3 linked regions of the Ovis aries genome follow. The protein of the gene in region 2 interacts with the protein of the main gene of each other region in a pairwise test. Links are inferred from orthologs where the notes say so. Each region holds a gene or a part of one and is shown on either strand. Other genes may lie near its edges. The genes, in order: COPS4, USHBP1 and SEC14-like protein 4.

Region 1 (3,650 bases), on a different chromosome or scaffold from region 2:
GTCATGATGCAAATGTTTCTGAGAGATAGTGAAATGAATCTGTACAACATGGGAAAGGTGTAGTGTGCACAGACGGCCTGCAGGAGTCACTGAGCCATCTGGGCCTCCATGGCTTGAGCTGTCCATTCTGGTGCTGTCTGGCTAATCTTCTCCAGCAGGTTATTCACTTGGAAACACAGTGACTGGATCTGTTTGTCCCATGTTGGCAGGGCTTCTCGTGCTAGAGAAAAAAGGAATAATGTACAAAGCTGAAGTTACTCCTTTGCGACCATAGTGAATGTGAATTAGAAGACAAAATACAGAAACGCTGATTTTTAAAAGTTTAATACGAAACTCTTGGCTGATAAAATTAAGCTAATTAAGCAACAGTTAAGAAAAGTACTCCAGTCACTGGCACAGAATATAAAACAAAACAAAAATATACAAAATAAAACCAATCAAACCACCTCATCCACAACAGTAAGATGACTTCACTGAAGTTAAAGCACTGAAGTGCTTTTCTCACTCAGTTTATACCTTAAGATCCCCTGGAGGAGGGACAGGCTACCCACTCCAGGATTCTTGGGCTTCCCTGGTGGCTCAGTTGGTAAAAAATCTGCCGGCAACGCAGGAGACCTGGGTTTGATCCTTGGATTGGGAAGATCCCCTGGAGAAGGGAAAGGCTACCCACTCCAGTATTCTGGCCTAGAGAATTCCATGGAGTGTATAGTCTGTGGGGTCACAAAGAGTTCGACAGGACTGAGCGACTTTCACTTTCTTTCACTTTATACCTTCATAAGACACTGCCACCTACTGGGGAAAGTAAGCCTATTTACCTACTCCACGCTGTCTCTACTGGACTCTAAAGAATATTTTAATATTTAAACTCCAAACAAAAAACCTCATGATCTAGCAGGCTTTTCTCTGCACAGCAATCTGCAGTTAGAAATGAAAAACTAGGGAGGGAGCAGCTCCATCCAAAACAGCATCAACATTTACAAATTTGGGCACAGAATTAATGACGGGAAAAAAAACTATAAAATCTGACTAAAGGACATAAAATAACTTGAGCAGATACAAACCACATTTCCAGCTGGAAAGATGTAGTATCTTAGAAATATCAGTCCTTTTCTATTAATACATAAATTTAAAGAAATTTCCAAGACAATCCCCCCTTTCTCTGTTTTGCTTCCTGAACAAGATAAAATTACTGAAGTTAATATGGAAAAACTGATGTTTGAGAATAGCCAAGATAATTTTGAAAATTAAAAACAGGGGAAGGATTATAGTACATCTACACAACTAAGTATTACTCAGCCTTAGAAAGGAATGAAGTACTGACTACATGTTATAACATGAGTGAAACTTGAAAACACTACATTACGTGAAAGAAGCTGAAAGGTCACATATTGCATGGTTTCATTCATATCAAATATCCACAACAGGTAAATCCATAGAAACAACAGAAATTAGCTGCCAGGGCCTGGAGAGAGAGAGGTATGAGGAGTAAGTGCTTAAGGGGCATGGGGCTTCTTTTTGAGAAGATAAAACTATTCTGGAACCAGGCAGAGATGGTGGCTGTACAACACTGGAAACATACTAAATGATACGGAATGATTAATCTCACAGATGTGAATCTCGACTCAATTAAAAAATAGTAGTGGAGGGACAGGGTCTGCTCTATCAAGAGCAAACTCTCTTATAAATTATGCAATATTGTTACAGATCCATGGAACAGAAAGAGATCCAAACTAATTTGTGAAACGTGTGTGCGTGCTAAGCCGCTTCAGTTGTGTCTGACTCTTTGCAGCTCTACGGACTGCAGCCCGCCAGGCTCCTCTGCCCATGGGATTCTCCGGGCAAGAATACTGGAGTAGGTTGCCTTGCCCTACTCCACGGGATCTTCCTGACCCAGGGATCAAGCCCACGTCTCTTACATTTCCTGCACTGGCAGTCGGGTTCTTTACAACTAGCACCACGTGAAACCTAATACACTTCAAAGATCAGAAAGGATGCTTTATTTAATAAATGATACTCACATAATTGGCAATCTATCTTTAAAAAAAAACAGCTAGACTATGATTTAAAATTATACACAAAAATGAACTACAGACTGAATTTGTAAATATAAAACAATAAATAAAATATTAAAGAAACTTTAAATATTAATTTAACCCCAAAATGAAGGAGACTTTCTTACTCAATACAGAAAACACAAAAGTCATAAAATTAAAAATGGACAGATTTGGCTGCAAAAAAACTTTTAAATGTGTCTGGGGTTAGGGTTTATGGTACACATTGCCTAACAGAAACTCAACTGATAGAATGAGAAAAGTATCTGTAACATTGATATAGGAAAGGTATGGAGAAGAAAGGAAGGAAATATGTAAGAAAAAATAACAATTCACAGATGAGAAAATGCTAATGACCAACACATGGAAAGATTTAAACTTCACCAGTGCCAAGGAAATGTACAGTAAGACAATAATGCAGTATTTCCCCCCAACAACAGGCAAAAGATGAAAAACAAAGAATATCCAATTGTTAAAGCTTCATTTCTCATGTTGGTGGAAGCGTAAATGGCTATAGCTTTCTGAGTAGCTATTAATCAAAATACATATATCCTCTGAAACATCAAAGTATGCAACTTCTGAGACTTCATTCTAGAGAACTAAGTGTCCCAGGACTTAAAGATTTGCACAAGGAAACCACCTGAATGTCTAGCAACAGGTGAACAGTTGAACTCCATGAAATAACCACACAACTATTAAAACAAATAAATTAGATTTTATATCTAGTGACTTGAAAATATGTTCATGGTACATTAACTTAAAAAAAAAAAAAAAACACTTTGTAGAATACTATGTACTTTAAGGCAGGACGCCATTTTTTAAAGTCCCTACCTTTTTTTACTTCTCTATATAAGCATGCAGAAAGACAGACAAGATTTCAGACTGATATTAGTTGTGCCAGACAGGTGGGGTTAGAGGAATGCAAGAGACAGTGAAAAGATATTAGAGACTCTTCCTTTAGTTACTGGTGTAATATTTACTTCTTAATAAGAGCAGATTTACCATTGTAATTTTTTTAATCTAAGAAAATTAGAAAGGAAAATATTCCATATTCTATCAAGTTGGCAGACATTAATTTAAATTGTTCTTTTACTTGGTGACCCCTCTGCTATACTATTCATCATATACTGTATTTGTTAATTCAATAATTATTTATTTCCCACTTACAATAGGCAGGGCATTGGAAAAGATGTTGGACATATGGAGAACAAGAAACACTTAATATTGATCACTAGGAAGCTGAGCTTGGTAACAGAAACAGGCATTTAGACAAAGAGCTACAGAAATGGAAATAATTATGATTAATGCTAGCAAGAAATTCAGGGTGACAAGAACATATAACTTAGAGCTACTCCTAAACTGAGGAGTCAGGAAAATCATTATTGATTAACGCTGTTGAAACTAAGACATGGGGACCAATAGAAGATGACTGGAGAGGCTAGCTGTGGAGGGATGGCTATTCTGGAATGTCTGATATGGGAAGGAACTTACAGTGATGGAGAAAACAAAAAGACCTGTGGGCTGGACTGGAAAGAGAAATTCATAAAGGGTCATGCACGATCTTTTGGAGACTTTGCAGAATTTTACTCTACAAGCAAT
Region 2 (3,750 bases):
GGCCCAGGAAGATCGACGTGCCATGGAGCAACTGAGCCCATGCTCCACAGCGGCTGAGCCTGTGCTCTGGAGCCCAGGAGCCACAACTTCTGAGCTCATGTGCTGCAACTACTGAAGCCTGTGTGCCTCAAAACTGCTCCGCAACAAGAGCAGCCATGGCCATGAGAAGCCCACTCACCCCCAGTAGAGAGTATCCCCGCTCACCACAACTAGAGGAAAAAGCTGACGCAGCAGTGAAGAGCCAGCATGCTGCTGCTGCTAAGTCGCCTCAGTTGTGTCCGACTCTGTGCGACCCCATAGACGGCAGCCCACCAGGCTCCCCCGTCCCTGGGATTCTCCAGGCAAGAACACTGGAGTGGGCTGCCATTTCCTTCTCCAATGCATGAAAGTGAAAAGTGGAAGTGAAGTCGCTCAGTCGTGCCCGACTCTTAGCGACCCCATGGACTGCAGCCCACCAGGCTCCTCCATCCATGGGATTTTCCAGACAAGAGTACTGGAGTGGGCTGCCATTGCCTTCTCCGGAAGACCCAACATAGCCATAAATAAATAAATAAATAAATAATTTTTTAATTTAAAAATAAAATACAAGATGTGCAGTTAAATTTGGGGGGAAAACGATACAAATGATCTTACTTACAAAACAGAAATAGACTCACAGACATAAGAAAGCAAATTTATAGTTACCAAAGGGGAAGTAGGGGAGAGATAAATTAGGAGTTTGAGATGAACAGGTACACACTATATACAATAAACAATGAGGACCTACATAAGGCACAGGGAATTATATTCAGTATCTTGTAATCCTATGATGGAAAGAACCTGAGAAAGAATAAAAAAGAATTTGTAATATTCTAAAAGAAAAGAAGAAAAATAAAAACCTTTGCTGCATACCTGAAACTAATACAACATTGTAAATCAGCTATCGTTCAGAAAATTGTTTTTGTTTAGAAACAAAACAAAACAAAAACCTCCTGTGACACTGAAGGGAGACAAAGAAACTGAGGCTCATGTGCTGAGGCTCATCGCTTGCTCAGGGGTCCCAACCCCAGGTCTGTCCGTGACTTGAAGTGGAACGAGAACTCTCACACTGAAGGGACAGTCAGAGGAAAGAAGTTCATAGGGAAGCCAGGTGGAGAGCATCAGCCCAGAGTGGCACTCTAGCTTCCAAGAAATCAAATCCAAGGGTCAGAGTTGGAGGAGCCTCGGCCTGGGAAGCAGAGGCGAGGAGGGGCTGACATGTCGGGAGCTGGCCATGCGTCCTGTTGCTGGGGCTAGAGGAAGTCGCTGCCCTTGAGGAAGAAAGTACACAATAACAGGTCACATGGCCGGGGAGGGGGCTTCCTGTTTCCCGGCCCCTCCCAGGCTGGCCTCGGCCAGCCCGAGCTTGAGCGGGCAGTGGCCAGAGTGACTCCAAGAATGTCCTGGGACTTGGTTTTCGGACCAAGGTACCCCCCAGGAGGATAGGGAAGTAGAGCGGGCTGAGGGAACCAAATCCCAGGATTAGAATCTCTGGTTCAGGAGAGCCCTGAGGAGGAGAGAGGACTGTTGAACTCCTCCTCCCAAGCCCGGATAGGGGAGGGAGGGGAGCAAAGAGAGAGAGGAAAATCAAGGAGACGGAAGAGAAGGAAGAGGTCAGGGCAACCTTGAGAGGTAGTGAGCTGTCCATCAAGGGAGGCATTCAAATGTGCCAAATCTACATTGATAACTCAAGAGCCTTTTGGAGAAGTGAAATCAATGCCCATTTCACAGAAGACGAAATTAAGGTTGTCATTTGCTTTGAGCTGAAGTCAGGTTGTGGTTTTAGCGGGTGAGGATAAAGGAGGATTCAGAAGACACTGATTTCTGGATAACAATGAGTGCCAGGGCCACACGGCCCCGAAGCCGGCGAGGGAGACATGCTCTGCCCGTAAGTGTTCCCCCTCCCTGCCACACCCAACCCTGCAAGACTCCAGCACCCAGATCTGCTTGGCTCAGAGCTCAGCCCTGGGGATCATTTGCAGGGTGAGCTGGACCCTGTGGCAGAGAGTTCAGAGGAGGCTGAGGCAGCCAGTGGGAGCTCTGAGCCGGGCCCTGTGGCATCTCAAGATAGCACCAAGGTGGAACTGTTGGCCTCTGAGGTGGAGGCCAAAGGGCAGGGCTTGGAGAGCAGGTAAGGCCCACTTTGTCTGTGTCCCCCACTGCAGACCTGGCACATCTTTCCCACTCAGAGATGGGTTTATGTCCCTCCCCGACTCACACACATGCCATGGCTCCCATTGCCCTTGGCCTGGCTTTCAAGGCCCTGCAGTCCTAGCCTTGTTACAAACCCTCTGTGTGTTAGCTACCTCAAATGACCCCATTTCCAGAAATTTCCATCTCTCACCTCTTCACAGGACTGACAAAGAAGTTGATGGGGACTCTAGCAGGGGACCAGCCCCAGCCCCTGAGGGGCGGCCCCGTGAGGAAACCCACCAGGCCCCAGAGACAGTCCTGCAGGACGGGGAGAGCGTCCCCTCTGGACCTGATGTATTTCAGACTCTCCAGCAAGCGCTGAGCTCTCTGGAAGCAGCCGTTGCTGCCTGGCGCCACCGGCCCCCAAACTGTCCTGGGCCAGTGGAGGCAAAGGACGGAAGCGAGGGGGCATCAAAGCCCTGCTTGGAGCAGGAGGGGGCTGGGAGCTGCCAGCGGGAGGCAGCCCGATTGGCTGAAAGGAATGCCTGGCTGCGTTTGGCCTTGGGCAGCCGGGAGGATGAGCTGATCTGCACACAGAACTCCCTGCAGGCCTTCCAGGCTGAGAAGGAGATGCTGCAGAGAGAGGTGAGTTGGGCAGGGCTGCCTCCCAGGGATCCCTGGTGGGAGGGAGGCAGGCCTGGCATAAGACACATTGAATCGTTTGTTCATTTGTGAAGATTTTTTTGGAGCTTTGACTTGCCTTGCTGATGTTCAGTTGCTCACTCATGTCCAGCAGCCTGCAGCATGCCAGGCTTCTCTGTCTTTCACCATCTCCCAGAGTTTGCTCAAACTTATATCCATTGAGTCGGTGATGCTATCTAACCCTCTCATCCTCTGTCACCCTCTTCTCCTGCCTTCCAGTCTTTCCCAGCATCAGGGTCGTTTCCAATGAGTCGGCTCTTTGTATCAGGTGGCCAAAGTATTGGAGCTTCAACTTCAGCATCCGTCCTTCCAATGAGTAGTCAGGGCTGATTTCTTTTAGGATTGCTTGGTTTGATCTCCTTGCTATCCAAGGAATTCTCAAGAGTCTTTTCCAACACCACAGTTCAAAAGCATCAATTCTTTGGCGTTCAGCTTTCTTTATGGTCCAACTCTCACATCCATAATTGACTACTGGAGAAACCATAGCTTGACTGTACGGACCTTTGTCGGCAACCCCAAAGAGACAAAGATCCCTTGCAACTTTAGTTAAGAGGATCAGAGAGGCCCATCGAAGAAATGACACTTGAATAAAGACCACAAGGAGGCAAGGGAGGAAACATGTAAGGAACCGGGGTAGAGCATTTTAGGCTCTAGGAACAGTATACGCAAAGGCTGGAGGTTGGAGTGTGATTAGTGCGTTCAAGAAACAGTGAGGAGGCCAGTATGGGGCTGAGCAGGAGGAGACAAGGGTACCGAGGTGATGGGAGCAGATCCCGGAGGGCCTTGTGGGCCTCAAGGAGGGTTTGAACTTTTGCTCTGAGTGAGGTGGACGGCACGGAGGGCTCTGAGCAAACAAGGATGGAGACCTGATGCAGGTGCTCACAGGCGCCCTCTGGC
Region 3 (3,650 bases), on a different chromosome or scaffold from region 2:
GGCCAGGTCCCCACTCCCTCGGGCGGCTGGACGCGGTGGGTGAGTTGAGGGGGCAGCAGTGGCCTGGGGGACCCCACGTGGGCTCACCTCTGAGGGCTTCCACTCGAGGATGTTGTCCAGGTCCTGTTGCTTGCGGAACTCCACATGCTGCGGAGGCACGGCTGGACTTGCAGACTGCCTGCCCCAGAGGTTCACAGGCCACGCCCCTCTGCCCACGGACACCAGGATCCCGCCAGAGCCACCCCAGGCACCACCAACATAGGACTGGGGGTGGGAACGCCGGGACGAGGGCTGTGGGGGACCCGCATCTGAGGCAGAAAGGGATGGAGGGGGAAGGACTGGGCAAGAGTCCCCGGCCTCTGTCAATAATCCCTGGGGATAATTCCGGGGGTGCAACGTGTAGGAGACAGGATGCTCGTGAGCACGGGGTCTCACCTTACGGAGCATGTCCTCTGATCTCTGCAGGTCAAAGTTCCGGGCTGCAAGAAGGAGTGGTAAGAGGAGGCTGGAGGCAGAATGCAGCCTAAGCTATTCTCTGACAACTCATAAAGAGATAAGCTCCAGGGGCAAGGAAGGTACACCTTCCTGATGCTCCAGGAATACACCGGGAGTCTGGAATTTTTTTTTTTTTTTAAAGCAAGGATCTTTAATCCTCTTGAAGACTGTGGAAGGCCCCTGATTTCATTTTCCAGGACTTAAAAAAAGAGATTTATTGAAGTATAGTTGATTTATAATGTCATATTAATTTCTGCTCTACAGCAAAGTGATCCAGTTATACATACATATGTGTTCTTTTTCATAATGGTTTACTATAGGATACTGAATATAGTATCTAGTAGCAATGGCACCCCACTCCAGCACTCTTGCCTGGAAAATCCCATGGATGGAGGAGCCTGGTGGGCTGCAGTCCATGGGGTCGCGAAGAGCTGGACACGACTGAGTGACTTCACTTTCACTTTTCACTATCATGCATTGGAGAAGGAAATGGCAACCCACTCCAGTGTTCTTGCCTGGAGAATCCCAGGGACGGGGGAGCCTGGTGGGCTGCCGTCTATGGGGTCACACAGAGTCAGACACGACTGAAGCGACTTAGCAGCAGCAGCAGCAGCAACGATTGCCAAGGCAACGATATTTATCACATTACATAGTCATATTCCTCAGAGTCAGACATGACTGAAGCTACTTAGCAGCAGCAGCAGCAGCAGCATATACTATCCAGGCCTTTATTTTTTAGATATTTATTTATCTGGCTGTGCCGGGTCTTAGCAGCAGCACTTTTGAGTCTTTGTTGCAGCACGTGGGATGCTGTGGCGGCATGTAGCATCTAGTTCCCTGACCAGGGATCAAACCAGGGCCCCCTGCATTAAGAAAGAGCTCAGAGACTTAGCCACTGGACCACCAGAGAAATTCCTCCAGACCTTTTAAACTTGTTCACTCTAGAGCTGATCTAGCCTGCAACCTTTAACATCCCCCAGGAAGCAGAGATGCCCCCGGTGTTAGGAGGGGTAAGAGCATGGGCTTTGGAGTCAGATTTGAGCTTAAACTCTAGTTTTGTCCTTTTATTTGCTGTGCAACCATGAGTAAGTCACTTACATTCTCTGAGCCTTAGTTTATCTGGGACTATCATTTTAAGAGTTATTCAAAGGATGTCCTGAAGGACTTTTGTCTTATAAATAACATTTGAACCTTTTCTGAGGCCCTTTTCTGCATCGAGATAGCCATACAATTTCTTATCTTTAACTCCATTACTGTGTTCGATGACACTGATAGGTTCTCCTTTCTTGTCTTTTTTTTGGCTGTATGACTTGTGGGATTGTCCTGATGAGGGAGCGAACCAGTGCCCCCTGAAATGGAAGCTCTAAGTCTAACCACTGGACCACCAGGGAATTCCCTAAGTTTTCTGATGTTGAACACTTCTTGCATACCCAAGATAAACTCTCCTTGATACTATTGCATAATTTTAATACCTTCTTGGATTCTGTTATGCAATATTTTATTTAGACATCTTTACATCTACATTAGTAAGTGAAATGAGCCTAGAATTTCCTTTTATTGTCCTTAGCTAGCTTGGGAATCAAACGTGCCCAAGCCTCATAAAATAAATCTCACTCTTTCACATATTTGAAAACAACTCAAACAATTTGTATACCTAGAAATTAGCTGGTATTAAAACTGGAGGAATTCACCTGCAAAGCCATTTGTGGTCTGAGTTTGGAGGGGAGGGGACGTTTTTATTACCATTTAAATGTCTTTCATATTTACTGATCTGTTGAGAGCTTTCTTTGTCTTCTTCCAGGAATGTATCCATTTCATTTAAATTTTCAAATTTGTTAGTGCATAAATCATAGCTGATATTCTTTTATTGACTTTAAAAATATCTGTGAGATGTCTCTAGGAGATTTTTCTGCTGAGAACCAGAGAGTGGTTTCTGGTCCTATAGACAGTGGTTTGGACACTGCTACTGGGTCCTCAAAACTTTTTTACTATGTGTCAGACTTGGAGTACCGGGCAGGCACAGTCCCTGCCCTCGTGGAGGTGGCATCCAAGAGGGAGAGATGGACCCAGACGAGGGATGGGGACAAAGGAAAACAAAGGAATCAGCCTCAGAGGGTCAGGAAAGCTCCTCAGCCTCTGGCTGAGCTCAGCCCTGGCCTTTGACCCTGTCTGGAGCCTGTGAGGCTGGGAGGAGAGCTGAGCTGAAGGGGGCGGGGCCGCATCAGCAGATCTGCGGCACTGTGAAGGGGAGGCGTCGGACGCCTGCACCCTCTTCCCGTCTCAGGTCCTTTTCCTTCCCCTGACCCAGCCGCCTGCAGCGCATACGGTTTCACTCTTTTATCTAAGACCCACGAGGTACCTGAAAAGCTGATTTTTAAACCCAAAAAGATTCAAAGGAGGAGGAGAGAGGTCTGAGGCTGTATCAAGTGGCTTTAAGAAATCTACCGTCCCCAAAATGGTCCAGATGAACCTATTGGCGGAGCAGGAATAGAGGTGCAGATGTAAAGAATGGATGTGTGGACTCAGGGAGGAAGGGGAGGCTGGGGCAAACCGAGGGAGCAGCCCTGACACACACACTCGCTGTGTAAAGCAGACAGGATGCAGGCTGGGGGTGGGTGCTCGGGGCCTGATGACCCAGAGGGGCGGGATGGGAGGGTGGGTGCTCGCCCCGTGATGACCCAGAGGGGCAGACAGGATGCAGGATGGGGGGGTGGGTGCTCGGGGCCTGATGACCCAGAGGGGCGGGATGGGAGGGTGGGTGCTCGCCCCGTGATGACCCAGAGGGGCGGGATGGGGGGTGGGTGCTCGCCCCGTGATGACCCAGAGGGGCAGACAGGATGCAGGATGGGGGGGTGGGTGCTCGGCCCCGTGATGACCCAGAGGGGTGGGATGGGGGTGGGTGCTCGGGGCCTGATGACCCAGAGGGGCGGGATCGGGGGGTTGGTGCTCAGGGCCCTGTGATCACCTAGAGGGGCGGGAGGGAAGTGCAAGGGGAAGGGCATGTATGTATACATAGAACCGATTCACTTTGTTGTACAGCAGAAACTAACAGCATTGTAAAGCAATTATACTCCACATTAAAAAAAAAAAGAAAAGAAATCTACTGTTCCAACTCCTTTTTTAGCTTGGGTGGGGAAAAAGACATTAAAACGACA

Evidence for each region.
Region 1: the proteins of USHBP1 (region 2) and COPS4 interact in binary tests that used the Homo sapiens proteins (3 or more experiments, as listed by UniProt). The two-hybrid records come from large-scale screens. The link is inferred for Ovis aries from reciprocal best matches to the Homo sapiens genes USHBP1 and COPS4.
Region 3: the proteins of USHBP1 (region 2) and SEC14-like protein 4 interact in binary tests that used the Homo sapiens proteins (3 or more experiments, as listed by UniProt). The two-hybrid records come from large-scale screens. The link is inferred for Ovis aries from reciprocal best matches to the Homo sapiens genes USHBP1 and SEC14L4.

Annotation. Positions count from the first base shown.
Region 1 is NC_056059.1:98,576,436-98,580,085, reverse strand, and holds part of COPS4 (COP9 signalosome complex subunit 4), read right to left. Parts: intron 221-3,650; coding exon 87-220; 3' UTR 1-86. UniProt on the Homo sapiens protein: Component of the COP9 signalosome complex (CSN), a complex involved in various cellular and developmental processes.
Region 2 is NC_056058.1:5,619,015-5,622,764, forward strand, and holds the start of USHBP1 (harmonin-binding protein USHBP1), read left to right. Parts: upstream 1-1,394; 5' UTR 1,395-1,852; coding exon 1,853-1,906; intron 1,907-2,000; coding exon 2,001-2,149; intron 2,150-2,372; coding exon 2,373-2,796; intron 2,797-3,750.
Region 3 is NC_056070.1:69,462,145-69,465,794, forward strand, and holds part of SEC14-like protein 4, read right to left. Parts: intron 480-3,650; coding exon 436-479; intron 148-435; coding exon 88-147; intron 1-87. UniProt on the Homo sapiens protein: Probable hydrophobic ligand-binding protein; may play a role in the transport of hydrophobic ligands like tocopherol, squalene and phospholipids.